Canis lupus familiaris: one gene and its partners. The protein of the gene in region 3 interacts with the protein of the main gene of each other region in a pairwise test. Links are inferred from orthologs where the notes say so. Each region holds a gene or a part of one and is shown on either strand. Other genes may lie near its edges. The genes, in order: C14H1orf35, PRKAB2, GOLGA2, NXT2, RAB39A, SCAF8 and CHCHD2.

What was found.
Region 1: the proteins of GOLGA2 (region 3) and C14H1orf35 interact in binary tests that used the Homo sapiens proteins (3 or more experiments, as listed by UniProt). The two-hybrid records come from large-scale screens. The link is inferred for Canis lupus familiaris from reciprocal best matches to the Homo sapiens genes GOLGA2 and C1orf35.
Region 2: the proteins of GOLGA2 (region 3) and PRKAB2 interact in binary tests that used the Homo sapiens proteins (3 or more experiments, as listed by UniProt). The link is inferred for Canis lupus familiaris from reciprocal best matches to the Homo sapiens genes GOLGA2 and PRKAB2.
Region 4: the proteins of GOLGA2 (region 3) and NXT2 interact in binary tests that used the Homo sapiens proteins (3 or more experiments, as listed by UniProt). The two-hybrid records come from large-scale screens. The link is inferred for Canis lupus familiaris from reciprocal best matches to the Homo sapiens genes GOLGA2 and NXT2.
Region 5: the proteins of GOLGA2 (region 3) and RAB39A interact in binary tests that used the Homo sapiens proteins (3 or more experiments, as listed by UniProt). The two-hybrid records come from large-scale screens. The link is inferred for Canis lupus familiaris from reciprocal best matches to the Homo sapiens genes GOLGA2 and RAB39A.
Region 6: the proteins of GOLGA2 (region 3) and SCAF8 interact in binary tests that used the Homo sapiens proteins (3 or more experiments, as listed by UniProt). The two-hybrid records come from large-scale screens. The link is inferred for Canis lupus familiaris from reciprocal best matches to the Homo sapiens genes GOLGA2 and SCAF8.
Region 7: the proteins of GOLGA2 (region 3) and CHCHD2 interact in binary tests that used the Homo sapiens proteins (3 or more experiments, as listed by UniProt). The two-hybrid records come from large-scale screens. The link is inferred for Canis lupus familiaris from reciprocal best matches to the Homo sapiens genes GOLGA2 and CHCHD2.

What each region holds. Positions count from the first base shown.
Region 1 is NC_049235.1:508,157-512,279, reverse strand, and holds C14H1orf35 (multiple myeloma tumor-associated protein 2), read right to left. Parts: upstream 2,779-4,123; 5' UTR 2,685-2,778; coding exon 2,591-2,684; intron 2,347-2,590; coding exon 2,196-2,346; intron 2,081-2,195; coding exon 2,035-2,080; intron 1,961-2,034; coding exon 1,878-1,960; intron 1,773-1,877; coding exon of another isoform or gene 1,700-1,772; intron 1,589-1,699; coding exon 1,500-1,588; intron 1,253-1,499; coding exon 1,118-1,252; intron 1,032-1,117; coding exon 751-1,031; 3' UTR 501-750; downstream 1-500.
Region 2 is NC_049238.1:58,290,933-58,294,432, forward strand, and holds part of PRKAB2 (5'-AMP-activated protein kinase subunit beta-2), read right to left. Parts: intron 2,273-3,500; coding exon 2,106-2,272; intron 1,271-2,105; coding exon 1,177-1,270; intron 945-1,176; coding exon 824-944; intron 1-823. UniProt on the Homo sapiens protein: Non-catalytic subunit of AMP-activated protein kinase (AMPK), an energy sensor protein kinase that plays a key role in regulating cellular energy metabolism.
Region 3 is NC_049230.1:55,336,393-55,339,892, reverse strand, and holds the end of GOLGA2 (golgin subfamily A member 2), read right to left. Parts: intron 2,880-3,500; coding exon 2,655-2,879; intron 2,576-2,654; coding exon 2,500-2,575; intron 2,300-2,499; coding exon 2,211-2,299; intron 1,938-2,210; coding exon 1,728-1,937; intron 1,645-1,727; coding exon 1,542-1,644; intron 1,459-1,541; coding exon 1,352-1,458; intron 1,275-1,351; coding exon 1,121-1,274; intron 1,033-1,120; coding exon 809-1,032; 3' UTR 67-808; downstream 1-66. UniProt on the Homo sapiens protein: Peripheral membrane component of the cis-Golgi stack that acts as a membrane skeleton that maintains the structure of the Golgi apparatus, and as a vesicle thether that facilitates vesicle fusion to the Golgi membrane.
Region 4 is NC_049260.1:83,436,371-83,440,639, reverse strand, and holds the start of NXT2 (NTF2-related export protein 2), read right to left. Parts: upstream 2,801-4,269; 5' UTR 2,704-2,800; coding exon 2,606-2,703; intron 1,775-2,605; exon of another isoform or gene 1,757-1,774; intron 1,641-1,756; coding exon 1,553-1,640; intron 1,401-1,552; exon of another isoform or gene 1,279-1,400; intron 1,165-1,278; exon of another isoform or gene 1,161-1,164; coding exon of another isoform or gene 1,146-1,160; intron 551-1,145; coding exon 464-550; intron 1-463. UniProt on the Homo sapiens protein: Regulator of protein export for NES-containing proteins. Also plays a role in mRNA nuclear export.
Region 5 is NC_049226.1:24,556,081-24,559,580, forward strand, and holds part of RAB39A (ras-related protein Rab-39A), read right to left. Parts: intron 1,578-3,500; exon of another isoform or gene 480-1,577; coding exon of another isoform or gene 382-479; intron 161-381; coding exon 1-160. UniProt on the Homo sapiens protein: The small GTPases Rab are key regulators of intracellular membrane trafficking, from the formation of transport vesicles to their fusion with membranes.
Region 6 is NC_049222.1:45,083,353-45,086,852, forward strand, and holds part of SCAF8 (SR-related and CTD-associated factor 8), read left to right. Parts: intron 1-1,692; coding exon 1,693-1,869; intron 1,870-3,007; coding exon 3,008-3,087; intron 3,088-3,500. UniProt on the Homo sapiens protein: Anti-terminator protein required to prevent early mRNA termination during transcription. Together with SCAF4, acts by suppressing the use of early, alternative poly(A) sites, thereby preventing the accumulation of non-functional truncated proteins.
Region 7 is NC_049227.1:495,444-499,627, forward strand, and holds the start of CHCHD2 (coiled-coil-helix-coiled-coil-helix domain-containing protein 2), read right to left. Parts: upstream 2,801-4,184; 5' UTR 2,643-2,800; coding exon 2,593-2,642; intron 778-2,592; coding exon 531-777; intron 1-530. UniProt on the Homo sapiens protein: Transcription factor. Binds to the oxygen responsive element of COX4I2 and activates its transcription under hypoxia conditions (4% oxygen), as well as normoxia conditions (20% oxygen).

The DNA of each region.
Region 1 (4,123 bases), on a different chromosome or scaffold from region 3:
ATTTCGACAAACAAGCACTGTAATTATAGCTACTAGAATAAAATCTCTTAACTATTTCATGGCTTTCCAGTGCTTGGGTGCCACTGACCCACACTTACCACTGTGCACAGAGGATGTCACTGGCTAGGGACCTACATGGTGTGGCTCACTGCTCCCTGTGTTAGGTGTGCATATGACCCAGCGCCCTCTCATCGTCCACCCGCTGACTGTTAGTGCAGCCCCTGGTCTATTCTGTGGGACTGGGACGTGGAGGGACAGCAGGGTCACCACACTGGGTGTGCCCGAGGCCTGCTCTTGTCCACGCCCATCCCTGCTAGCCAGCCTGCTCCTGAGGGGTAGGAAACCCCTGGCAGGGCTCCTAGTGGCTCTTTGGCTGGAGACCATCCCTCCCACCTGACTGGGCATGCTGGTCTGGTTCCTTCTCCTGGCTGGGGGCGCCCAGTCTGGCCCCCGCCCAAGATTGTTTATACCACTACCAGGTTGAAACACCAGGGCCAGGGTTATGAAGACAGAATCGTTTTTAGTTTGATGACTTAAAGCCAAAGATGCCAGTTTCACAATCATGAGTGCACCCTGGGTTTCATCCTCCCTGCAGGCAGGCTGTAATAGGAGGGTTTAATGACTAGGTGCTCACCTCCCAGGGGTGGGGCACACTGCTGGCTCCAGGTGCACGTCTGTGCCCTGGGGTTGGACATGGTAACCCAGGGAGAGCCCGCCCCCCCCCCCCCTCCCCGCCCTACCAGCAGGGTCTCAGGCTGGTCTTGCTGGAACTTTACTGGGACATGACAGCCACCTTCCCTCAAGGATGAGAGGCTTTCCCCTTAAAATAAGTTTATTTAAGTACAAAGTGAGTTGAAGAAAAATAGAAGTGTCTCGGGGCCTTCCCAGGCAAGTGTGTCCTCCCGGGGCAGGTCCCCTGCTGGACATGGGGGCCCCTTGTGATCTGGCCTCAGTCACTGTGGTGGCTGCGTCGCCTCTTGGAGCAGGGCAAGGAATCTTCAGAGTCAGAGCCGCACTGGTGGTGCCCCGGCCTGGGGATATGGGGACATGTGGTCAGGGGGAGGCTGCCCTGCTCCCCAGACCTTCCCTCTGCCCCGGCAAGGCTGAGCACACCTACCTTGCAGGAGCTGGAGACAGTGGAGAAGCCACCCTGCTCCTGTGTGCCTTGTCTTTCTTCTTCTCTTTCTTGTGCTTCTTCTTCCTCTTCTTCTTCTTCTTCTTCTCTTTCCTGCTCTTCCTGTGGCTCTCCAGGCTGCAGGGACGTGGGGTGGCGTCCCCTGTGCACTGTCCACACAGACACACCCCCCCCTCCCTGTGGCCAGTGGGTACAGCGGTCCTTCCTTCCCGTTGTGGCAGGAAACTGCCAGGAGCAGCAGAGGTAGGAAGGCGCCCTGCTTCCCCATCCAGGGAGGAAAAGCAGGGGTGGGAGTGCACCTTGCCTCCCCCTTGGGGGAGCCCAGCAGGTGGGCCTGGGACCAAGGGGTGGGAGCAGCCCTTACCCAGGCTGCACCTTCTCCTCCTCAAACCGAGGCTTCTTCCTAGCAGAGGTGGGGGAGGCCCCTGGGCGGCTGCTCTCCACGCGGTGGTGCTGGGGAGGGAAGGAGCAAGGAAGGAAGGCACTCTAGGGGGCTGTGGGGGGGCGTCCCAGTTTCGGCGCCCGCCCGATTCTGGGGTGCCCCGCCCGCAGAGGGGGGTTTACCGTGAACACCGACAGCCCCAGCTTGGCGGCCTCCTTGTCTTCCCGGGACAGTGCCACTCGGCCTGCAGAGCCGCTGCGGGAAGGCAGGCGAGGACCCCACGGTGAGAAGGCCCAGGCCTCCCTCGGCGGGGCGGTGCGTCCACCTGGGGAGGGCCCCTTCCACCCCCCAGCCACGCACCTGGAGCTCCCTAGGCCCAGCAGCCGGTCCACTCCCTTCTCCTCATGCTCCCCTCCTTCTCGCTTGCAGACCTCCACAAAGTCCTGTGCGGAGCCAGCGGGTCTCAGGCGGGGGTTCGCACAGACTCCGGGCGCCCCGCCCCCCGTGCGCCGCTCACCTCCTTGCTCAGGCCAGTGGGCTGCTTCCTCACGTTCTTGTAGCCTCTGTGGGGGCCGCGGGCGAGCTTCAGGCGGCGGCCGGAGTCCCTGGCCTTGCCCCTCGGACCCCGCCTCGCCCCCGGGCCCCCCGAGCTCCCCCGACCCCGCGGGGCCCACTCACAGCGCCGCCATGAGTGCCTCCTGCTCCGCCTGCCGCACGGCCGCCAGCTCCTCCTCCCGGCTCAGTCCCGCGCCGTCCGCCCGGCCCTTGGCGTACCAAGTGAGGTCTCGGCCCTTCTGCCAGCGGCCCACGGGGGCCATCAGCGAGTTGCCTGCGGGGACGCAGCGCGACTGCTCGGCCCGCTGGTCGCCGCTCCCCGCCTTCCCACGCCCGCAGCCCCCCTTTCCCGCACCTCGCGCCCTCTCCTTCCCCGCCCCCGCGCCCCCGGCTGCCCACACCGAGAACCTCGCAACCCCGCTTTCCCGCACCTGCGGCACCGCGCACGGCAGCTCGGGCGTCCTCCCCCGCCCCCCCGCCCCCGCCCCCCCCGCCCCCGGGCCCGGCGCCGCACTGACCCAGGTAGTTCTCTCTCTGTTTGTCGGTCTTCACGTCCTCCCAGCTGAACTGGTCCTGCCCGCCACGCACGCCGCCCCGGCTGGAGCCGAACATGGTGCCAGGCCGCCCGCCGCCCCTGCCTCCGTCAACCCTGGCCTGGCCGCCCCGGGCGGCGCCGGCGCCGGGGTCCCGCCGCCGCGTCGCGCGCCTTGACGTCACACTCGCGCATACCCGGGCAGCGCCGCAAGCGCCTGCGCATTGCTCCCCGGCCCCGCCGCCCCGCCTGCCCCCAGCGCTAGGCGCACCGCCCGGGAAGGGAGCGGGCGTAGGCGCCAAGGCGGGTCCCGAGGATCCTGCCGGCGTTGGGAGCCACATTGTGCGGGCGACGGTCCTGGGGCTGTGCCGGGAGATGGGCGAGCGGGTGGGGCCGCAGTGCCGGGAGCGGGCACCGGGGGCGGCTCGGCTCCGGAGAAGCGGGACACGGCCTGCAACTCCCGGGGCCGTCCCCTGGAGACCCCAGCGTGGAGGGCAGGCGGGACGGCGCAGGTGCGCCAATGCACGGGCTCCTCTGGCGCCGCGGGGGGCGGCTGTGCTGGGCAAAGCAGGATCAGCTCCGAGCCCTGGACACGGGGGAGCAGCGGCATGGACAGTGTGTGAAGCCCCCCACGTGGGCGGCGGCGAGGTCCTGCGGAGCGGGGGTCGGGGGCCCACACACAGGAACACCTGGTGCAGATGGGACCTCCACTGACCAGAGCGCTGCAGACGGGCCTGGGCCTTCCGTCCACTTCACCGTGTCACCCGCTGTGGTGAAGAGCCTGCCACCTCCGGCCCCCTTCAGAAGCTAAGCAGGTGCCCGTGCGTTAGTGGAGGTCTTGCCAGGCCCACCAGCAGCAATCTCAGTAGGTGGTTTCTGCCAGAACCCCCTGCCTGGGGCGGGGGGGGGCCCTCTTAGTGATTTCCGTCACCAGCACCCACCCTGCCTTGTGGCTACAAGTCCCACTTGTCCCTGCCCCGCTCACCCTCTGCTCTGCTGTTGACCCCTGCATCGTTGCTGTGACCCCACTTCAAGGGAAGGGCAGACAATGCCGTTGGATGTTCCCAGGACCCTGCGCGTGGCCAGGAAACTCAGTGGACCACCAGGGACTTAGGAGTCCAAAGGTGGGTGCTTAATGCAGCACCCTTCGCCAGGAGCCCAGACACAGCCCCCTCCCATAGAACGTGGGCACCTTCCCCACCTTTTGTATCAGTGCCCTACGGTGGGCACTCACTCAGGTTTCCAAGAGTCCTGACAGCCCAGGCCAGGGCAAGAGGCAGGCCTGGGCCAGGCCAGCGACAAGTGGAAATGTTGGGACTTGGCCTTTTGGTCTTGCAGAAGCCTGGCCAGGCTGAAACCCACCACTGGAGCAGAAGAATGGCAGCCGACCACAGGTTTGTTGTAGTCACAGGGGCCACAAGCCCAGCTGAAGGCACCTCCCTTTGTGGGCCAGTCCACTGACAGCCCGTACCAGCATCCCTGACACCCTGCTCCTCCCACTCTCTTCTTGAGGGCCCCT
Region 2 (3,500 bases), on a different chromosome or scaffold from region 3:
TATAAAGCACTTTGGTAGCTCATGAAAGAAAGGAAAAAATAGAAAATAAACTGTATCACATGGGGCAACCCCGGGTGGCTCAGCGGTTTAGTGCCACATTCAGCCCAGGGCCTGATCCTGGAGACCTGGGATAGATTCCCACGTCGGGCTCCCTGCATGGAGCCTGCTTCTCCCTCTGCCTGTGTCTCTGCCTCTCTGCCTCTCTGCCTCTCTCTCTCTCTCTGTGTGTCTCTCATGAATAAATAAAATCTTTTTTTTTTTTTTAAGAAAAACTAAAGAAAATCCCTTAAAAAAAAGGGGGTATCACATGTAACAAAGACACACATTCTGCTGAGACTTGTGTTACAGGCGTGGGGGGATGGATGGGGGGGAGAGAGAGAGAGAGAATTGAGTTATAATGTAAAACAAATGTCTTGCTGTAGATCCTAGTTAAAAAGTTTGAAATCATGGGGCACCTAGGTGGCTCAGTTACCCTTTGGCTCAGGTCATTATCCCAGGGTCCTGGGAGAGAGACCTGCATAGGGATCCCTACTCAGCCGGGAGTCTGCCTCTCCTTCTCCATCTCCCTCAGCTCATGCTCTCTCTCACTGTCTCAAATAAATGAAATCTTTTTAAAAAGCTTTTCAATCAAATACACTGAGATTTCTTTTCTCTCAGAGAAGGAGATCTAAATGTTTAGAGGAAAAATATACATATATGTACATATAACGCATATATGATTCAGAAGATTCTTGAGGAGAAAATGAAGACAAAAACCACTCTTAGGAAAAAACTTGCATTGTAAGAAAAACACATTAAGAAAGAGCAAATACTACAAAATTACCTCGACAAGATGTCTCCGAGCTTTCCATTGAATCTAGTTTTAAAGCATCAAACACCTCAAAGTCAGATTTCTTGACATGGATCAAATTGTTAATTGTGCCAAGCTGACTGGTAACCACAGGCTGAAACAACGAATGGAAAACATTCATAAACCCTGTTTTAATTCATCGCTTCCATCTAACTCTCCTATTTTAAAAAATGATCATACTTAGCACCTCCATCTTTAATCAAGAGAGAAATCCTCCAGTGTAGGAGCCCATCAATCCTGACAGGAATGATGTTTGATACCAAAGGGAGTAACAGCCAAAAGAACATAGTTAAGATAATGGCTACCCTTGGAGATCAAGACCTTACCTCTGACGGATCATGAACCCACTGTCCATCCACGAAAAACTTGTACTGGTGCTCTCCCTCAGGGAGGTCTAAGATGGCAACAAAGTCATTATGGCTACAGAAGAAAACACAAAGTTAACAGGCCAAGTTCCTGTTAGAAAACAGAATGCAAATATAAAAACCATGAGACATTCACAACTTCATACCAATGATCTCCCACAATCCTAAGCGATTGTTACCCATGGAATAAAAATAATTTATAGACTCATTCTCCTTATCTGTATCACCTTGAGCATATATTTGCCAGCCCATCCCAATAACTTTAGTTCTTAATTAATATCTGGAAAAGAATAATAGATGTTAATCCCCCAAAATGGTTCACCTTAGTGCAACTAATTTGCTTTAGGAACAGATCCCTCACAAGTGTAAATAAGATAGCAGGTAGCTTCAGAATACAGAAGTGCCTCAAGATACCCCTTCCAAATTTTGGTGAGCCTTTTCTGAAAAAATGACCTATATATAAATGAAGAGCCATTCTGATTAACAAGTAATTCATTATTGCTCTACAAGCAACAATTCACATTATTACCTAGAACATCATGTGTTTTGTTTTAGTGCAGAAGTCACAGCAAGTGGACTCAGCCAGTTACAGATGACTTCCCACAAGCATAGACAGGACTTGTGTTAACACAGTCCTAAAGAATGTACCCACAAAGTGAATAAGTTCCCCTGAGGTAATGATATTCCAATCAGTAAAACATCTCTGACTCACTGAGATTTAAAAAAAAAAAAAAAAAGGTCACAGATGTAGTTATTGGTCACAGAAAATATTCTAGAGAGAGTCCCTAGCTGGTGAAGAGGAGTAGTCCAGCCAGGTCTCTCTCCTGAGAAGGGAAATCAGGTCCCTACTCCTGGACCCTGTAGACTCAACCAAGAACACTTGTCTTCACCTCTTAATCAGTGGAATCTTGGTGCTCCAATTGTTGAAGGACCCAGAGATGAAGACCTCTTTGCCTCCTTCAGACCATCGGATAACAGTGGGCCGAGCCTGCTGTGTGGGCTTTACGGAGTCCTCCAAATCCTGTTGCCATGATACAAACTCTTTGTCCCCAGGGAGCTGTAAGAAGGATTAGGTCATCCCTAAATTGTGACCCAGGAATTCTTAAAAGGTCACTCTCCTCCCTAGGGCAGAGAGGGGTGCTATGTTTCTGGTAAGAATCAATAATCCTTGAAATTAGCAGCTGAATCAGATTTTGAACAAACTATAGAAAAATAAGTCATCTAGGACCCAAATGGTCAAACAGCTTATGCTCAGGGGTTGACCAAATCACAACCTAACTTTAGAGTCTGCATGTATCACTCACCCTTTCAGAGCCTTCGGATCTCCCTTTAAAACAAGTTGGGGGAGGGGGTGTGCTTACTCCCAGTTACCAGATCAACCCACAGGCAGGCAATTATGATATACTTCTGAGTACCTCTTAAGAGAAAAAAATAAGAAAAAAAGTATGTTTCCATAAAAAGCAATGAACTCGGCCATGTATTTTTCATACGTAAGTATGATCAGCTCTCAATTATCGGCAAGTTAGAGATACTGTAATTCGTAAATAATTAATAAACTTCATTTTAGCTAATAGGTTACAAAAGGACATTAAAAGCATAAAAAAATCATGTATCATTGGTTTCTTAAATTTTGAGAAGTGGTTATAAATCTTGCTCACTCCTGCCAGGTATATACTAATTATTTCAGGAGTGAGGATGAAAACTCTGGACCCTCAAGAAACATCAGATCAAAAACATGGCTTTTGTTTAAGGAAGCTTCCTTTAACAAAAGCCGTTTCAATAGCAAATGAGGTCTGTAAGGATTCTAAAAAGAAAAAACAAATGAACTCCTTATTTAGTTTATTTTCATTACCATCCTTTAGAACAAAAGTTGGCAGAAGATGGTCAGTGAGCCAGATGCTTTTATACATAAACTTTTCTTGGAAAATTGCCACACTCACTCATTTACATATTTATCTACAGCTATTTTCATGCTATAGTAGCCAAACTGTTGTGATAGACACTGTATGGCCCACAAGGTCTAAAATATTTACTGTCTGGTCCCTTATAGAAAAAGTCTACTGATCCCCACTTCAGAATGGTTTAAATGACTTCGGTAAATAGGACTGTACTGTATCAAGTCAAAATGTCACCAAATAAAATAATGTGGGTTAAAAAAAAGGATTAACTTATTCACATGGGCTTTACTTTCAAAATGGCTAAGGTAGTCTACTTTCCATATTGTCTCTCAATATTCCTCAAAACTATACTAATGAGACACCAGTAACAGCATAAACTGAAGTAAA
Region 3 (3,500 bases):
CAATGCCCACAGTGCAGACTCCAGGACCTAGGGGCCAGTGACTGGAAACAGGCACACACAAGGCTAAACAGTATGGCTAAATCCATTTATTCCGAAATAAAAAGCAAACAGAAGTTGTGAGTCACCTGGGCGGAACCCCGTCCCCGCCTCCTTCCTCTGTCCTATGCTATCAATAAATAAGTTTCCTCATCCCCAAATATTTAATAGAACTTCCTCCCCATTTGCCAGTTCCAACCTCTGCTATGATACAGGGGGCTGCCCTATCCCCAGAATATACAAAATGTTACACAGGTACAGTATATACACTGGGGAGGGAGCCCCCCCCCCCACCAGCTTATGCCTTTGCCTGGCCTGGGTTAGCCCCAACTGTCCTAAGGCCTGGGAGAGTGCTGCCCAGTCATTGAGCTGGACAGGGGGAGCACTTGTTCCCCAAAGTGCCTCTGAATAGAGGATGCCTGAGCCCCTCTGAAGGACTGCTTGGTGGGGGTGAGGAGGCCACCAGGGAGCCCCTGCCCCCCAAGAAAGGGAGCCCTCTAAATAAACTATGTTTTTATTGAGCCTCTGGCTCTTTGTTTTTCTGGAACGATGAGTAGTCCAGATAAAGACACAGCCCTTGCCAAGGTGGCAAGAGGTCTGCACCTATTTGTCTCCCCCAATTAGGAGGCTTTTCACACCCCTCTCAGGGGTCTTATCTTGCTAGTTTAGGGATAAAAGGGTAACTGGGAAGGAATGATAGGGTGGCAGGGACAGGGTGGGAGCAGAGCCCCCGGCCCCACTTCTCCAGGTTTTGCTTGCTGGTGTCAGGCTCTTAGATCACCAGGATCTTCACCTCGTCATTGTCATCAGCCCGGTAGAAGAAGGGGACGCAGGGATTCTTGCTTAAACCTAGGTATGGCTGGGGATTCTGCATCTCCTGCAGAAGCTGCATGATTTGCTGTGCAGTGGGGTTCTCAGGGGCACTGTGGCCTGGTAGGGCCTCTCCCTGAGGAGGTGCCACATTATCATTGTCAGCCAGGCTCACCTCTCGAAGATCTTTGTGGGTCAGGGAGAGAGAAAGAAACAGGGCTCTGAGTGCTGTGCGAGCTCTCCCCGCCCCACCCACCCTGAGGGCTCTACTCACCACCCTGGCCATTGGCAGCACCAAGCTCTTGGGCTGGGGGTGCTGTAGCAGGCTCTGCTGCGGGGTCCTGGGCAGCTGCCAGGAGCTTGCCCTGCCGTTCATTGCGCTCGCTCACTAGGCATAGCACCAGTTTCTGTAGCTCCAGCAGCTTCATCTGGAAGGAGAGGTGCTGAGCACCCCCGAGTTCCACCCCTGCCCTGTACCACTCCCAGCGATGCTCAGGGCCCCTACCTTCATGTTTTCTTTGTCTTGAGCCAGACGGCTAATGTACTCCTCCTTCTCCCGGTGCCGTTCCTTCAGCACTGCCCTCTGATTCTGGTACAGGGCGATGTATTCTCCTGTGGGTACACGGGCTGCCGCTCAGGCTCTTGGACCCATCACAGGGCTCCCCCCACCCCCGGGTGCTGGCCCTCCCACTCACCAATAGTGTCTGTCTCTCCAGAAAGCTGGATGCAGCAATGCTCCAGCTCCTCCACCCGCTCCTTCAGCTCCACTTTCTCCTGCATGAGCTCCAGGAAGCGGCCCTGTGGCCAGAGCAGCAGGGTCAGGGTCAGGCAGCCCGCCCTGGTGGCCCCACCCTTCCAGGGCTGGCCAGCGACTGGCTCACCTGCAGCTTGTCCATGGCCACCTGAAGGGCCTGGTGGGTCTCCCCAGGCACACTGTCACCACTGGGGGCTGCGGCCTCCTCCTGCACCTGCTGGCCTGGGGCCACCAGGTGAGCCAGACGCTGGCAGCGCAGCTTCTGCTTCTTCAGCTGCCCGCGCAGCCGTGCCTGCTCCTCCTCAGCACTGGCTAAGGCCGAGTTAAAAAATGCCACCTGCAGGTGAGACATGTGTGTGTGCTCTTGTGGGGGATACTCAGGGTGACCAGGTGGCAGGAAGGCAGAGAGAAGCTCCTCCTCTCCTGGCCTTCGTGGGCACATCTGCGCTTCAAGGATGGTGCCGAGGCTGACCGCTGGGTCCCATGGGTTTGAGGGTTGAGAGAGGTTGAGGGAGGGAACCAAGAAGAAAGGAGGGTGCCCCTGGGAGGGGGTTACCACAGAGGGAAGCGGGAAGGTGGGACGAGGAAGGGGCAGCGGGGGTCTGCTCACCACGGCCTCTCGGCTCTCCAGGTTCTCTGGCATGCTCAGCTTTGGCTGGGCAGCCTCTTCTTCCTTCTCCTCACTGTCCAATCCATCTCCTGTCAGGGCAGATGGAGGGTCCTCAGACAACCCAACAGGGGAGGTAAAGCGGGCCAGGGAACAAAGCTTGGGGCCAGTGCATCCCCAGAGAAGAATTCACTGTCCTACAGGTCCCGTCACACTTGATTCTGTGCTGCTCAAAGTCACCCCTCCTCCTCCTCGGGCTCTGTCCTCTTCCCCTGGACACTCTCCTACTCACCTTCCCCAGGCATAGCCATGAGGCTCAGCTGGGCCTGGAGCTGCTGGTTCTGCTGGGTGGCAGATTCCAGGCGTCCCTGAGGGGCCAGGAAAGAGTGAGAAGGGATGCGGGTAGCAGGCCCTCCCCTCGGGGCCCAGTACTCGAACTCCCTTCACCTGGGTCTCCTGTAACTCTTGGAGGGCTTTCTCGGCCGCCACCTTGCCCTGAACTTCCTCATGCTGCAGCCGGTCCATGAGCTGAGTCTGCAGCAGCACCTGCTTGTGCAGCAGCTCCTTGTCGGAAGCCAGCTGCTGGTAGGCGGCCATATACTGCTGCAGGTGGCTCATGTACTGGTCCCGCTGCTGCTGTAGATTCTGAGCCTCCTGGCTCTTCAGCTCCACCTGTGGGAAGACCCAGGGACTAAGGCTGGCACCCGTGCTGAGAGGAAAGCGGGAGGCTCTGCGGCCCGCCCAGGCCCCTGGCTTCCTCGCTCTAGGACTTCAGTGACTGCCCCTATATCCAGGGACCCACACTTCCCTTACCCTTCCTCATGCCTCATGACCACCTTCTATTTTCACTTTAGTGGAAAAGCAAAGTGCGCCCATGGACATCTGAGTGCGCCCTGAATGCCTCACACTACAGGCATGCTTCTCATTTAATTCTTGACACCTGGGCAGCCCGGGTGGCTCAGCGGTTTAGCGGCCCCTTCAGCCCGGGGCCTGATCCTGGAGACTCAGGATCGAGTCCCACATCGGGCTTCCTGCATGGAGCCTGCTTCTCCCTCTGCCTGTGTCTCTGCCTCTCTCTCTCTCTCTCTGTGTCTCTCATGAATAAGTAAAATCTTAAAAAATAATAATCCTTGACACCTCTGTGAGCAAAATGCTAATATCTCTGAGGACACCTGAGGCTGAGAGATGAGAAGCGACTAGTGACTGGTGGAGCTGGGGGTAGCATCCAGGGCTGAATCCGAGGTGCACCATCTCTTGACCTCGTTAGGGGCCTGAGCTCTCTAGCCAGGACGA
Region 4 (4,269 bases), on a different chromosome or scaffold from region 3:
CAGCTTTGAGCTTTAATCAGAAATTAATAATATATGAAATTAAACAGTTCAAGGAACATTCCCTGTAATGGCACACTCCTTCACTAGCACTGATACTGTTTTAAGTATACTGGCTGAATGACAGCGTTAAAAAAGGTAACATATTTGAGTAAATATATGTCAAACCCCATGTCAAGTGCAGTAAGTTAATTCCCATTTACTCTCCCTAAAACTAGAGAATAAGAGAGATTAACAATTTACCCAAGGTCACAGAGTTAGGTAAATGCAAAGCTGAGAGAGGGACTCCAGAGCCCACATTTCCAGAGTATCATAACCAATCCTTCCCTTAAAAAATGCACTTTTAAAGAACAAGCCCACAGTTATCACTTATGCAAGTCAGATGACTGGATGGCTACAAAAAGACAAAAAGCAAAACAAAAAACCCTGGTACTTAACAAAGTGTAGTAGAGTCTATAAGGCTCACCCGTCTTCTTTTGTCCATTGTCTCATAGTAAATATTGACAAATTCCTCAGCAGCTCTACATGCCTGATCTACGTGAGTTTTAAAGTCCTAGAAGAAAAAATTCAGAAGTGCACATTACCACCCCTCCAACTCCTAACAAAGAGAAAACGAACAAAAGCTGGTCACGTATTTCAATCACTTTGTAGCTGCATACACAGTTCACATTCTTCCATCGATATTTGGACATTATAAAGGTCAGGGTTCAAAAGTTTCCAGTTTTTTTATTTTCCCCCATTTTAAAGTACATGTGTTTAGGACATACTCATCCCTCAATAGTGAATTTTTTTCTCATTTCAAATATGAATTTATGTTTGCTTGGTAACTGGTACTGGAAGTACCTTACGCTTCCAATATCTTACAAAACATTCACCTTAAAAAAACGATGTGGTCTGAACCTTATAAAGGGCAGGGTGGTGGTGGAAGTGCTGAATTCCCTCTTTAAGCCAGAACTCAGGACAAAGAGTTACTCAGTGGGGGAAAAAATGGAGTATAAAACGAAGTTCGATGAAATGCTTGAAAAACTATATAGTTAGGAAACTTCTACACATGACGGAAAAATTCACCGGCATTTGTAAAGAATTGTCGAACCGAAGGAGAGAAATGCTGTTGGGGTTTTTCTTCTGCCGGATGATTTAATAGGTACCTTTCTCCCAGCCATTCGCCGAGCCCAGCCTATTATTTGAATTAAGAATCCGTTTCATTTCCCTGTCAGGATATCGAAAGTCATTCAGAGAGGGAGATGATAGAGAATAAAAAATCGCAAGCCATAAACAGACCCCAACATTTCCGCTTCCCGCCAACTCTCATCTCGGGGTCCTTGGCAGCAATCGAAAGGGACTGCACGGACGCCAAGGGGTGGGGGCGGCGGGGGAATCTGTGGGCTCGCGACCCAAGGGGGCTACAGAAAGCGGGCCCCGCCCCGGAGCCCAGCGGGCCCGGCCCTGATTCGCCACGGGACCACGTGACCACCAGGCTGCCCGCCCCAGCGCCCCTCCCCTCAGCTGCCCGAGCCGCGGCGCCTCGGCACCCTGCAGTGGCCCCAGCACTCACCACAGACGTGGCCATGAGGGACCCCGAAGCAGCTTGTTCCGGCAGTGGCGGCGTCACTACCTCTTCACGTGTCGGGCGCCCTCGGCTGCTGCAGGACCAAAATTTAGGAAGACAGCTAAACCCGCCAAACGCCGAATTCTCTACCCGCCCATTCTCTCCCGGAAGTAGCTCGGTCCGTTGTTAAAAGCACCCCGATGTTCCAACCTTAAGTACACTTCCTTCAGTTCCGACCGTACCCTCCCATCTGCCTCCTCTATTCATTTGGTTGCTATTTATCTACTTGGTTGGGAAGAAAAAAATCCTCTGCTTTCGTAAACTAGATACTCCAAGTAAAAGTATCCATTTCCCTCACGAAGCGGGACAAGAAAAAAAAAATCTAAATGGCCCAATAGGGGGACTTCTTTGCGCCAGGAGGCGGGGCCAAGGATAGCAGAAGACCAACGAGAAACGCGAGGAGACACCTACTGGAACTGTAGACTATAGGAAAAAGGGGTGGAGTTTGGGGAGGGATGCCACCACACTGCGCATGACTGGCAAAGAACGGTTTAAAGTTCTGGAACATTCTGGAAGAATCTAGCCTCACTAAATCGAATCCCAACGGTCTCAGCAGCATTCCTAAAATTATTCATGATTTGGTTTTCTGCTATTCATAAGAAAAGGCTTATCAAGTTCCTTCATGCCCAAATTTTGGTCTCAGACTCCAAATGAAGATTAGCAAACCTTGCCATTCACCACCTTCTGCAGCCTACTTTCTAACTGCAACTAAAATTTTACTGCGTGGTGACCACGAGCAATGTAATTTTCTAAGCATTTTAATCGATATTCACTTATTACTTTAATAATGCTATGAGGTAACCATCTCCAGTTTATAGCTAAGGCACATTGTGATTAAGGAACCCACTGAGAGTCACAAACTAATTGGGGTTCAAGCTCAAGCAATTTAACTACCACTACAACCTGATTTCACTCTCCAGCATCCTTTAAAACCGTTCACCTCAAAGGCACCAACAGCTTCTGCATGGTTAAATCAATTAGCTATCGCTATAGTCTTACCTCGAATAGCTGGTTTCTGGCTCATCAAAATATTCTCTCCTTCTTTGGTATCTTCCTGAGTCCCTTCTATGAGCCCAGTCTCTTCTGAATCTTCTCATATTTGAATCTTATTTGCCCCCCACAGCGCTCCGCTCTTCAAACTACCTTCAACTGCAGGCAGACTGACTTTCTTCCCCTGCGCCCTTCTTACTGGCGTCACTTCCGGGGGTGTCTCTTATTTAAAAACCTCCTTCCTCCCACGTGACTTCAACTGCTATTCATATGCTAATAAATCTTCACGACACATCTCCAGCCCCCACCGTCGATGTCCAGTTCCGCTTATGGAATTTCACTAGATATGAACAGCAGAAATGCTTTACAGGTTTCTCGAACTCTTAAGAGTCCAAAATTTAAACTCCTTAATTCCTCTGCAATTCCAATCTTCTGTATTCTTTCAGTCATCTATGCTTGAATTCTTGGACTCTATTTTTAGCACCCCCATCATCGTAATTCACTTGTTTGTTCAAAAAATATTGAACACTTACTATGGACTACCACGTTATGCAAGGTTCTCCACATAACGTTCACAATGTAATGGGAGTTCTAGACAATAAACAGAACATTTATGAACTACAGAGGAATTCCAAGTAACTTGCTCAATTTGGCTCATTTTTTAGGCAACCTCTCTCTCTCTCTCCCCCCTTCCTCACCTCCTCTCCCCCTCCCTTCTGCTGCCCCCTCCCTTCCGCTGACCCCTCCCATATCCTCCCCTTCCCTCCCCTTCCCTCCCCCTCTCCCTGCCAGTCCCCACCCCCTCTTCTGCTCTGCTCCCCTCCACCATACCTTCCACTGCGCCCTCCCTTTCTTCGACTCTTCCCCTCCTCCCCTTCCCTACCTCCTCTCCCTTCCATTCCCCTCCCCTTTCCATCCCTCCCCCTCCCTGCCAGTACCCACCCCTCCCCCTCCCTTCTACTCTGCTCCCCTACCCATCTCCTTTCCACTATCCTTTCCATCCCTCCCCTCTCCTCTCCTCTCCCCTTATCCTCTTCTCCCTTTCCCTCCTCTATATGCAAATATTCTCACTTCTCATTTTTCCAAAATGTTTCTAATCTTTTAAGACCTACCTTGGTCTAGTCTCAATTTGCCATTCCAGACTTCTCTCTCATTGTTCACCAACATCGGCAAAGTTAACTAGTACTGTTTGCCAAAAATGACTTGTGTTTACTGCTTTATAGGTAATTATGCTTATTAATTGAGAGCTCAGAATAGGTGTCTGGTGTTTATTATAATCTCATTCAATCCTCATGACCCCTGGAGAGAGACAAATTATTATCTAAAATTTTAAGAACTCAAACTGCAATTCAAAGAGGTTAAGTAAATTGGCTAGGATGACATAGCTAGTGGAGCTAGAATTTCAACCCAGAGCTGTGTAATCCCAAAGTCTTTTCTCTTAGACACTCTGCTAGTCACGTATGTGCTTAAACTACACTTTTTAAAAAAAGGTTTTATTTATTTATTCATGAGAGACACACAGAGAGAGAGGCAGAGACATATACAGGGAGAAGCAGGCTCCCTGTGGGGAGCCCAATGCAGGACTCAATCTCGGGACCCTGGGATCATGCTCTGAGCCAAAGGCATATGCTCAACCACTGAGCCACTCATTGTCCCTAAACTATGCTTATTTT
Region 5 (3,500 bases), on a different chromosome or scaffold from region 3:
ACACTTATGTCCCACCAGCAGAAATACAATCCGAAACGGCTGAACGTGCATTTTTGCTTCTTCTAGCCAATCTTTCACGTGTTCGAAAGATCGTCGGTTGGTAATGTCAAATACTAAAAATCCACCAACTGAGTTGCGGTAATAAGATCGAGTTATTGATCTGAAAAAGAAATAGAAAAACAGGTTGTAAAGGGACAAATTTTTCTGCTTCTCCTCTTTCAAACAATGTAGCACCATAATAAAATTTGAAGGTAACCTGGACCAGAATTTATAAATCAAATATGATGTGTCTTTTTAAAAAAGATTTTATTTATTTGAGAGGAGAGAGCAAGCAAGCAAGAGCAGGGAGAGAGGCAGAGGGAGAGGGAGAAGCAGACTCACCTCTGAGCAGGGAGCCCTACTCGGGGCTCAATCTCAGGACCCTGGCTGGGATCAAGACCCCAGCCAAAGGCAGATGCTTCACTGAGTGACCGAGCCATCGGGGTGCTCCCAAATATGAAGTGTCTTAAGTGGACAAAAATATTCTGAAACTAATAGGCAAGCCAGTTTCATCCACTGACAGAACATTTAAAGTGTAGTTATTTTTAGATAGACAAAAAGAACTTAAGTGGTATGTTATCTTGCACTTAGGACTGTTTTTATTTTCAACTATCTGCTTGAGTAATTATTACATTACTGTGATTAAAAATAGGAATATAGAAAGATATGGTGAAGAGCAGAGGTTGCCCAGCCAACCAGATCTTAAAAATCTCTCTTCCTGTTATTTAATGCAAGGAGCCCCTCTCTATCCATTGAAGAAGAAACGAGGGTGCACCTGTTATAATGTGAGTCACAGCTACAGTCCTGTGTGATACCTCTTCAAGAAACAGGAAATTGCTGGCACATGGGGTGTGAATCTGAGGTGTGCTAGGGATTCCATCTGTCCCTCTAGATCTAGTCTCTGCTCTTCTCTGGGCCTCAAAGCTTTCCCAAACTCCCTCACCCTTGGGCTTGCAGTGAGGTTCAGCCAATGGGAGCACCAGCTGGGTAGCAAAGAGGTCCAGCTACATACCCTCCTCTCCATCTCCACTCTTGGCTTCACAGCAGCTATGTTCCTGTTTCTGGTTGTGGTTCCCCTTGAATAGCACCTTTCTAATGGGTTCCACCAGGTTCAGGTAATCTCATTCTCTTCCCTCTGCTGGTCAGGTGGTGGATGGCTTCTCACTGTGGCTAACTTTGAATGCCTCACCATCCTTGATTGATGCTGTTCACCTTGCCCACATTTCTAGAAATAGTCACTTTGCTAAACTTTCAGTTAACCCTTCACATGTGCTATTTCCTGACTGAATCATGAGGCAAGGTGCTAAGGCCATACTGTTCTATATTTCTTGCCTTTACATGCATTATTTTTTCTACCCAGAATGTCTTCTACCCTCCTATTTCTCCTTCAAGAATCAGCTCAAAAATCATGTATAGGGATGCCTGGGTGGCTCAGCAGTTGAGCGTTTGCCTTCAGCTCAGAGTGTGATCCCAGGATCCAGGATTGAGTCCCACATCGGGTTCCCCATGAGAAGCCTGCTTCTGCCTCTGCCTGTGTCTCTGCATCTCTCTCTGTGTATGGGTCTTGCATGAATAAATAAATAAATCTTTTAAAAAAATCATGTATAGAGAAGCTTTCCCTGCCACTGACCTTTTGTCCTCTTAGGCAATCCTGTTATAACTCCATTGAGCCTCTGGCATACTGCCATTATGATTATATCCATTTTCACAATGTGCTGATTGGACCGGTTGGTATGTCTCCCATTCAATTCAAGACTCCTTGAGGGTCATTTTTCCTCTAGGTATCTGACAATACCTAATATCATATTACCTGGGAAATGATATATGTTGCTTAGTATTTGTTATATTGGATTGATTAGTCTTATTGGAGAGGGAAAGTGCTAAATGTTGTACGAGGCAGAGATTGCAAATGTCTGTTTCTAAGTTGTCAATGGTCTTGAGCATTGAGATGATCATTAAGTAAACTCATTTGACCACCCAAGATCTTTGTGGAAGGCCAGTAGGTCACCTGGTACTCTCTCCATCTGTTGCATTCCTTCATTATCTTTCCTGCTGAAATCACAAGCACCATTTGTTGTGGATGTGGGAAGAAAGTATTTCACCTCTTTTTTCTTTCCCTTTCATTTGCTTCCCTGCTTCTCCTCAGAATTTTTTTAAAGATTTATTTTAGAGAGAGAGAGGGAACACAGGGACAGGGGCTGATGGAGAGAATCCACAGAAGACTCCTCTGATACAGGCCTCCATATCATGAGCCTGAGATCATGACCTGAGCTGAAACCAAGAATGGGACGCTTAAAAGACTGGGCCACCCAGGCACCCTCTCCTGAGAATTCTTAGTAGAGACTGTCAAGTGACTATTGTTTTTTAAGATTTTATTTATTTATTCATAAAAGACACAGAGAGAAAGAGAGGCAGAGACACAAGTAGAGGGAGAAGCAGGCTCCATGCAGGGAGCATGACGTGGGACTCGATTCCAGAACTCCAGGATCACACCCTGGGCCGAAGGCGGCGCTAAACTGCAGAGCCACCCGGGCTGCCCTCAAGTGACTATTTTAGGAATGTTTTCTCAAGGACTACTGGATTACATAGCCACTGTTAGTAAGAAAAATCTCCCACTATCTTTCACAGGCTTCAAATAATGGGGTTCATTTAAGTTGCTTTAAAAAAACATTGAGGGATAATTTGTTATTGTTTTGCTACTTATCTTGATATGTGTGAATTCAGGCAGATGTGCAGTGCTGTAAGAGAAACGACATTAAGGCTGTTACTAGACTGAAAGCTTTAATTTACTCAGCACCAAGTCTGCATTACTTTGATTCCCCCTCCTATTTAATCTACCATGAGTTTAATTTACAAAAACATGCTTTTGTGGTTGAAAACTCAATGCTGAAACGCTCGTATATTAGGCAGAGCCATATCTCACACTGTAGAAAATGCCATGTTTTCTAGCCCTTTATATCTAATTTTGCAAACACATTTGGAATACAGTTGGCAAATTCTATAGAACAAAATTACAGCAAGGTATATGCCATGTACACTCTAAAACAGCCCTTATTAATAATAGATTAGCTGGAATAAAAGGTCTCAATATGACATCCGTCATTTTCTACGTAATAACCTGATCTTCAGTTTCTATATGTGGGTATGGATAAGAGGTTTAGAATTCTGATATGTTAGCCTTCCCATTCAGATATAGTTGTCCCAGGGGGTAGGTTTTCCCTAAAACAATTGGGCATCCCTGCTGTCAATTATTCAGGGGAAGAGACAAGCCTACAGCCTGAAAACTAGAATGTGAGAGTTAGGTCTTCTAGAAGGGGGTAAGGAACATTTAGCTTTTTCTGGGCCTGCTCTTTTGGGTCATACTTCGGTCTCTAGGAGTTCTTGGAAGTATCAGAAGAAGTAGGGTACAGATCCTGAGAGAACTATGTAGGTCAGCTTCCCTATAAGGAATTCCAGAGTTG
Region 6 (3,500 bases), on a different chromosome or scaffold from region 3:
AATGAATATGTGATAAATAGTAGGGTTGCAGACTCTCTAAAATGACCATCTCAAAAATAAAAGGGACCATTTTAGAGTCTTAAACATGGAAAAACCAATTCAGTTATAGTTCTAGATTTGATCCAGCTTCTCCATTTTGGGGGCAGTTGGGAAACTGAATTGGATACTAGATAAAATTATCAAATTATTAATTTCATTTTGTGATAATATTTTAAAAATCATAAAGCACATGGTCTCATTTAAAAGAAACTTATTAAAATAAATACTTTTGGCAAGAAAAGTGATTTTTCCAGAACAGATAGTAAAAGAGAGTTAAGAACACATAGTAATTGATAGAATGATAAGTCAGAGTAGAAGGAAAAGTAGGATGCTGCAGTGGTTTGAAACTGACTGAAACAGTAACAGTGCTATCTGGAAAAATGGGGATGTCAAAAGCAGCAGTTAAAGTGTGTAGAGGAGAAAATACAGTATTAACTCTTTACCCCCTTTTTTCCTCCCTCTCTTCTTCTCCCTCCTTTTTTTTTCTCCTTTCCCTCCTCCCACTCCCTCTCTCCCTATCTGTTCTGGAACCTCCTCAGTGTAGTAACTAAGCTATTAGATATTTTGGTATTACTTTCTTTGCTATCACATTAGTAGTTTGTAGCCATTGTTTATTTGGTTGCCAAATGACTCTAGTTTGTTTCTTAATGTAGCTATTTTAGATAGGCATGAAATTACTTTCTTCTTGGATGGCTTTTGTACCTTCTCTCACTATAAGTTGATCTTTATTTAAAACAGTTCACATGTCTTGTTTCTATTCTAAATTGATAATTTTCAGATTTATACTCAGGTTTAGGTCTTGATTTAGGAAAGTATTAATTATTTCTAAGATGTACATAGGGTTTACTTAACTATGAAATATCTTCAGGATCTTAGTGTTTGTTGTTTCTGCTTTTTTGAGGATAGATGAATAGAGGGAACAGGGATTTATTTCAACTCCTTTTGGCACTATTCACCTTTAATTTCCTTAGTTTCAGACTGCTCCAAGAGACCCAATTTCATACTTGTTTTTCTGCTTTCAGGAATTGTGTTGTCCAATGGTAAATCTGAAAGATAGCAAAAGCAGTTGTTGTCAGTGCTTGTTCTTTTACAGAGATTAAGGAGTTAATTGAGGAAGGAATGAAAAGCTTAGTGAAGGGGCACCTGAGTGGCTCAGTCAGTTGAGCCTCCAACTCTTGATTTTGGCCCAGGGTCATGGGATCAAACCCCATGTAGAGCCCTGCTTTGGGAGCTCTGCTTCAGGTTCCCTGCTTTGGGTTCCATGCTCAGCATGCAGTCTTTTTGGGGCTCTGAGAGGGGGCTCTAAATAAAAGAGCTATATGTGATGAGTTCTTTATCTGTCATGGTATGACCACACACACCCGGACTCTAAATAAAAGAGCTATATGTGATGAGTTCTTTATCTGTCATGGTATGACCACTTTATTTGGCTTAAGTTCCCTGGCTTTCTAGAAGCAAGACAAACTTATTAAGGATTATTGTATATGGGACACACAAAAAATATTTTATTAAAAAATTAACTTGTTTTGAGTTAGTATCTATTTTTTCTTCATCTCCAAAGACTGTACAACAATGAATGTTATTGAAAAGATGGGCATTCTTACAGATAAATTCTGCATCTGTTTGTAATAATTTTCCTTTTTTCTCTTCTAGCTTCAGCAGTTGATACAGACTTTACAACTACAACAGCAAAAGCCTCAGCCTTCTATTCTTCAGGCCCTGGATGCTGGTCTTGTTGTGCAGTTGCAGGCTCTCACAGCACAGCTTACTGCTGCAGCTGCAGCGGCCAACACCCTGAACCCCTTAGAACAGGGAGTGGCTTTCAACAAGGTAGACATTAAGTTATCAGATCAGTTCTGTATGAAGTATTAAACTCTGTATGCTATCATATGGATTCTAATTCTGTAAATAGCATTTTATTATAGAACCATTCTAGTATACGCTGTACTGTATAATTCATTATGAATTTTACGAAAGATTTACAGATTTCTGACGGATATGGTAACATTGAGGCAAATGATAATTTTCTGAATTTTCTAATTTCTTTTATGTATGTTACAAATATACTAATTTTGATGTTCTATATTCTAAAATTTTAACCTGCTAAAATTATAATTGTTGAAAATGTGAAAATTCACAGGAAAACTTCTCTACACTGTAATATTATAAATTGAGGCCTATCTATAAAGGATAGTGGTTTTAAAGTTGAAATTTTTTTCATGTATAATTTATTGTATAATAGCCTCAATATTCTTGTTAATTATAAGACTATTAAAATACTTGGAAGTATTATCCATATTTTTGTTTCTGCTACTTTATTTTTAGGAAAATACTGATTTATTATGTTATTACTTAGACTTTTTTAGCTGTCAGCCTAATTTAGTCTGAAAATTTAATAGTTACACCACATAGGGGGCACCTGGGTGACTCAGTTAAGCATCAAACTCTTCATCTCAGCTTAGGTCTTGATCTCAGGGTCATGAGTTCAAGCCCCGCATTGGGCTCCATGCTGGGCATGGAGCCTACTTAAAAAGCTAAACCGCATAAGAAAAAACTTCAAATTGATCATTTAGAAGACAGTAGAGCATCCTAAGAAGAGAAATATACTAGGAATAGATCTGTTGATTATAGTCCTAGGTGTTTTTAATCAAGCTTTATTACTATTGGCAAGGCACTTAATTATTTTAATCCAGTCTTCTCTTCTACGATCATTAATATTTAATCTGTGTTGTGATTTGTTATATAAGACAGTGTATGTCAAAGTACTTTAAAAATAAAGATTCATTCAAATTAAATGCTTTATTATAGCACAACAAAATTATATAAAACATTTATGTATTATGTGATAGAGGTAAATTAATGGGATGTCACTGACATTCAGAATAGCACTTCTACCTTATTTTTGTGTAAAGCACTTTTAATCTTTTTCTCCTTTTTTTTTTTTTTTGTTTCCCCCTTTCTCACTTAGAAGTTGATGGATAGGTTTGATTTTGGGGAAGATTCTGAGCATAGCGAAGAACCTAAAAAGGAAATTTCAGCTTCTCAACTGTAAGAATTGTTGTTTTTCTTTATAACCATAAGTTTTTCCCATTATTATTATAAACATTGGATGGGACATTGTTTTCTGAACTACCAAGTATACTTTGAATAAATTGGGATATAATTTCAGGCTATTGAGCTCTAACATTACAGAAAGATGGTAGATTTGCTGTCTTGTTGCCTCCGTATTTATTTTGACTCCTTTCTCAGATCTTTGCAGTTAATTTGGGATATATCAAAATCCTTTATAGAAGAATTGTAGATACAGTTGTGATATTTTCTATATCTGTATTAGGCTTTAAGTTATTTAATTGTAAGAATATTTGAAATAATGGGAAAGAAGCTTGCTTCTAGTGTCAATGACCAGTTCTAGGAATTTTATCAAATTCTGGGAGTGTATCTGACTCCCAGGATTGGGATTA
Region 7 (4,184 bases), on a different chromosome or scaffold from region 3:
AACAAAGATGCAAATAAAGTTAAATGATTACATGCGTATCTAAATACCAGTGGGGTTCAATGTAGTTCAGAGGAGAAAGTGGGACTATAATAGAAAAATAGACGGATAAGCATGTCAAATACACCAGAAATACAACAGAGTCCACACTGAGGTTCATCAGAGGAGAAAATTCACATACTTCAGAAAGAGGGGCAGTGGCAAATACCAGATAAGAGGTCAGAGAGCTCTACTAAAGCTACTAAAAAGGTTTTTCAATACTTAAGATTGAAACTAAATTTAAAATAAGGGGAAAATGGCTGTTCTACAATGAATCAGGTTGAACTGCTATTCTACTCCTTGGGAACAAATACAATGTGGACAGTACTTGATGCTGGTCTAAAGCACTAACTCAACTGCCAAACATGGCTTCTGACAAACCATTTTCTGTTAGGAGGACCATGGATTCACAGCTCCTATACATAAGGAACTGACAAATAACTAGCTTTTCTTGTAACCTACCCAATGAAAGAAAACACTGCCCAAAATCTTACCTGGTAAGTGATGTCGGGCCTTGAAGGCTCAGTGTTACTTCCTCCACCAAAGCCCCCAGTAATGGCATGCCCAATCGTGTGCCCTACAGCAGAGCCTACAGCCACGCCAGCTGCAGTGGTTGCCATCTGGGCCATGAGACCTGGCTGTCGGGGTGCAGCAGGTGAGCCAACAGCAGATGGCGGAGCTGCTGCTGGTGGCTGAGCGGCTGGCGCTGGTCTAGGCGCAGCTCTCATCTGAGGTGCCCGGCTAAGAAAGAAAAGAACAAAAAGCATGAAAAGTGCCCACTTCCTACCAGGCTTGGATACTGTCATCTAAAGAAACTGTACTGTTCACACAACACAGGTTTGAACTGCATGTGTCCAGTATGTGTGGATTTTTTTTCAATAAACACAGTATAAGTATTGTGTGTGCTTTCTCTTATGATTTCTCAGTAACCTTTTCTTTAGCTTATTTTATTCTAAGAATACAGTATTATAACATATATACAAAATACGTGTTAAGTGACTTTATGTTATTGGTAAGGCTTCCAGCTAGAGGCTTTCACTAATATTCAATCCTGCTTTAGAATAAGTCTTCACACATGATGTCCCCTCTGGCCATTTTTAGACTGTTTCCTTGGGTGCTCTTCCCCCAAATAAGGCTAGGTTGGAAGTTTATTTTTTTAAGATTTTATTTATTTATTCATGAGAGACACAGAGAGAGACAGAGAGACCGAGAGAGAGAGAGAGAGAGAGAGAGAGAGGCACAGGCACAGGTAGAGGGAGAAGCAGGCTCCATGCAGGGAGCCCAACGGGGGGGTCAATCCTGGGGGTCCAGAATCAGGCCCTGGACTGAAGGCAGCATTAAGCGGCTGAGCCACCTGGGCTGCCCCTAGGTTGGAAATTTATGAATTTGCTTCCAATCAGGTGGTATCTGGCATCACTTTATAAAAATTTGGTTTTTCTGTCCTCTGGAGAACAGCTTCTTTCCCTTAAGTGAAGGACTGTCCTACAGTCCTAGCATACAGTCTGAACACAATCCACCTCACTCCAGAGAAGCAACGTGGTCCTGTGTTTAACACCCTAACCGGTTGTTGGAAGACTTGGGCCAGACCTGGCTTTCCTATTTACTGGTAGGGTGACCTCGGACAAGTCACTTGTTCCGAGGCTCCAGTTTCCTTATTCCTGGAAAACAGGAATAACATCTATCCCTAAGGTTACGGGTGTTAAAGTGTAACTACCAGTATATTTCTTTTTTTTTCTTCTTTTTTTTTTTTATTTATGATAGTCACACACACACACACACAGAGAGAGAGAGAGACAGAGGCAGAGACACAGGCAGAGGGAGAAGCAGGCTCCATGCAGGGAGCCCGATGTGGGACTCGATCCCGGGTCCCCAGGATCGCGCCTTGGGCCAAAGGCAGGCGCCAAACCGCTGCGCCACCCAGGGATCCCTACCAGTATATTTCTAAAGTGTTTTATGAATTAGACGATGTCGTGTACAAGGAGGCTTCGGTCGCTGGGCCGAGCCTCTGGACCGCTCTCTGTGGGCTCGCAGGTTACCCTGTTTACTGAAATGCAATCATTCTCCCCATTATACTACCTTTCACCGATACTCGTTTTGTCTTTTTATTTACTTCAGAAGCTTGGGCCGGTTTACCCTTACAAATACTCATTTACTTCCAGGATATGACCGTTTTAACTTAAAATGCGCTCTGGGCGGGCTGGTTGAATCGGGGGAGGGGCGTCTAGATCCTGGGGTCGTGGGTTCCAGCCCCACGCCGGGTGCAGAGCTCACTTCAATAAACGTAAAGCATTTTTTAAATGAGCTCTCGAATATTTTAAGAACTCACGGGCATTCGAAATCAGAAAGTTCGCCACCAACGGGAAATGTGGCCAAAGCCCAGTCACGATGCCCTGGCGGGGGCGGGCCCACCTCACAGCGGTACCCCCCTCACCCCCACACCCGCCCTCGGCCGGCGCCCAGCACTCCGCCGCCCCCTCCGCGGCCTCCACCAGCCTCCGCCCGGCCTCCGCATGCGTCACGGCGTCGGCAGGGCCCCAGACCCCGCAAGGGCCTCACCTGGCCGGAGGAGCCATGCGGGAGGCGCGGCTCCGGCTTCCACGCGGCATGTCTACTGGGACAGGAGCACGGCGCCCAGAAGCCCGACACTCGGCGAAGACCCCAGAGGCTTCGGCGGGAGCCAGAGACCGGAAAACAGGGGGTGGGGCTGGCCTCGGCGTGCGACCAATCAGCGCACAGGCAGAGGCCTCGCGCGCCTACGTCTCCGCGGGCCCTGAAGGTCACTGGAAGAGCACGCGCCACGCCGGCGCCGGGTCGGACGCGGCGTGCGTCATGAGCTCCGCGCCAGGCTGCCCCGGGAGACCGGAAGGCCTGGAGGTGCCCCGCGCGCCTGTTTTCCCAGCCCAGCGGGAGGCAGAGCCGTTCGCTTTTGCTTAAAAGCGTCGCTGCCTTCCGCCGACGTTTCTATTGGTGACGGGGGGACGAAGCCAGCCCTGAGAGGGAGGCCGGTGTCGGCGCGGCTGCCACCGGACCTTAGTTAACTTTCCTCAGCATTAAGTTACGTATTTGGGTAAGGATCTTTTGAGGCACCGTGTGGGCACATGGTGTGAGCGGGACGGAGGAAAGCGGATGCGTTAGGCAGGGCCCGCGGAGCTGAGGTGATCCCATTTTTATTTTACCTGTGGACTCAGGCCGTAATAATGCCTTACCGTGGCTCCTCTACCTTTCCGGGCCCTTTTCGTACATGCCATAGCGCTTGTGCCCGTAATCGGGGTAGTGCTCGTTCACTGATAATCAAAAGTGTAGTGAATGATTTCCGGGCGCTGGCTCCAACGAGACTCTTTCTTCGTGGACTTTGGGTCAGGAGGGGACACACGACAGCCTGCACACCCCGAGCCGCCGTGACGGGCAGCCTCGGCAGGGTGGGCGAGACCGGGCGTGAGGCCCCCGGGGAGGGGCTCGCACCAGCGCCGGGCACGGCGGCTGGAGGGAGCGGGGCCCCTGGGACGCGTCCGCGCGCCTCCGGAGCGGAGGAGCTGGCTCGGGGCGCTCCCGGGAGGGCTCCGGGCAAGGGGAGAGAGCGGAGGTGGCTTGCACGTCGAAGAGAAATTTTCCCCTTCCGCCTGAGGTCGCGGAGTTCAACGCATTCTCTCCAGTAACAGCAGAATGTTCGTGGAATCGAAGGGTAAATAATCCAAAGACCTGTCATGAAAAAGTTTTATTTTCACAGAACTTAATGAAAGCTTTACAAATGACGTGACATTTCTCTGGAGAATTCATAAGCAGAGACGGAGGAAAGGAGCCTTATAAGGACATCCTGGCACAAGCGCTCAGAATGAACATCCATAACAGAGACGATTTTTTTTTTTTTTTTTTTTTTTTTTTTTTTTTAACAGAGACGATTTTAATCGCACCTGGCTGAATCATGAATTCCCACTCCGAGGAGAGAATATTAGATATTTGTGCAAGATTATTTTGTCCTAGTAAAAGATTGGAAACAAATTCTTGTCAGTAGAATACAAATTTTTTAAAAAGGCGCAGCACACAATATACAGCTATAAAAGGGAATAAACTCTATATTGTTATGAAAGATATGATGATAAACTGTCAAGAGAAAGAAGGGCAGAATTGGGTGCAGTGTGCTTGGAGAG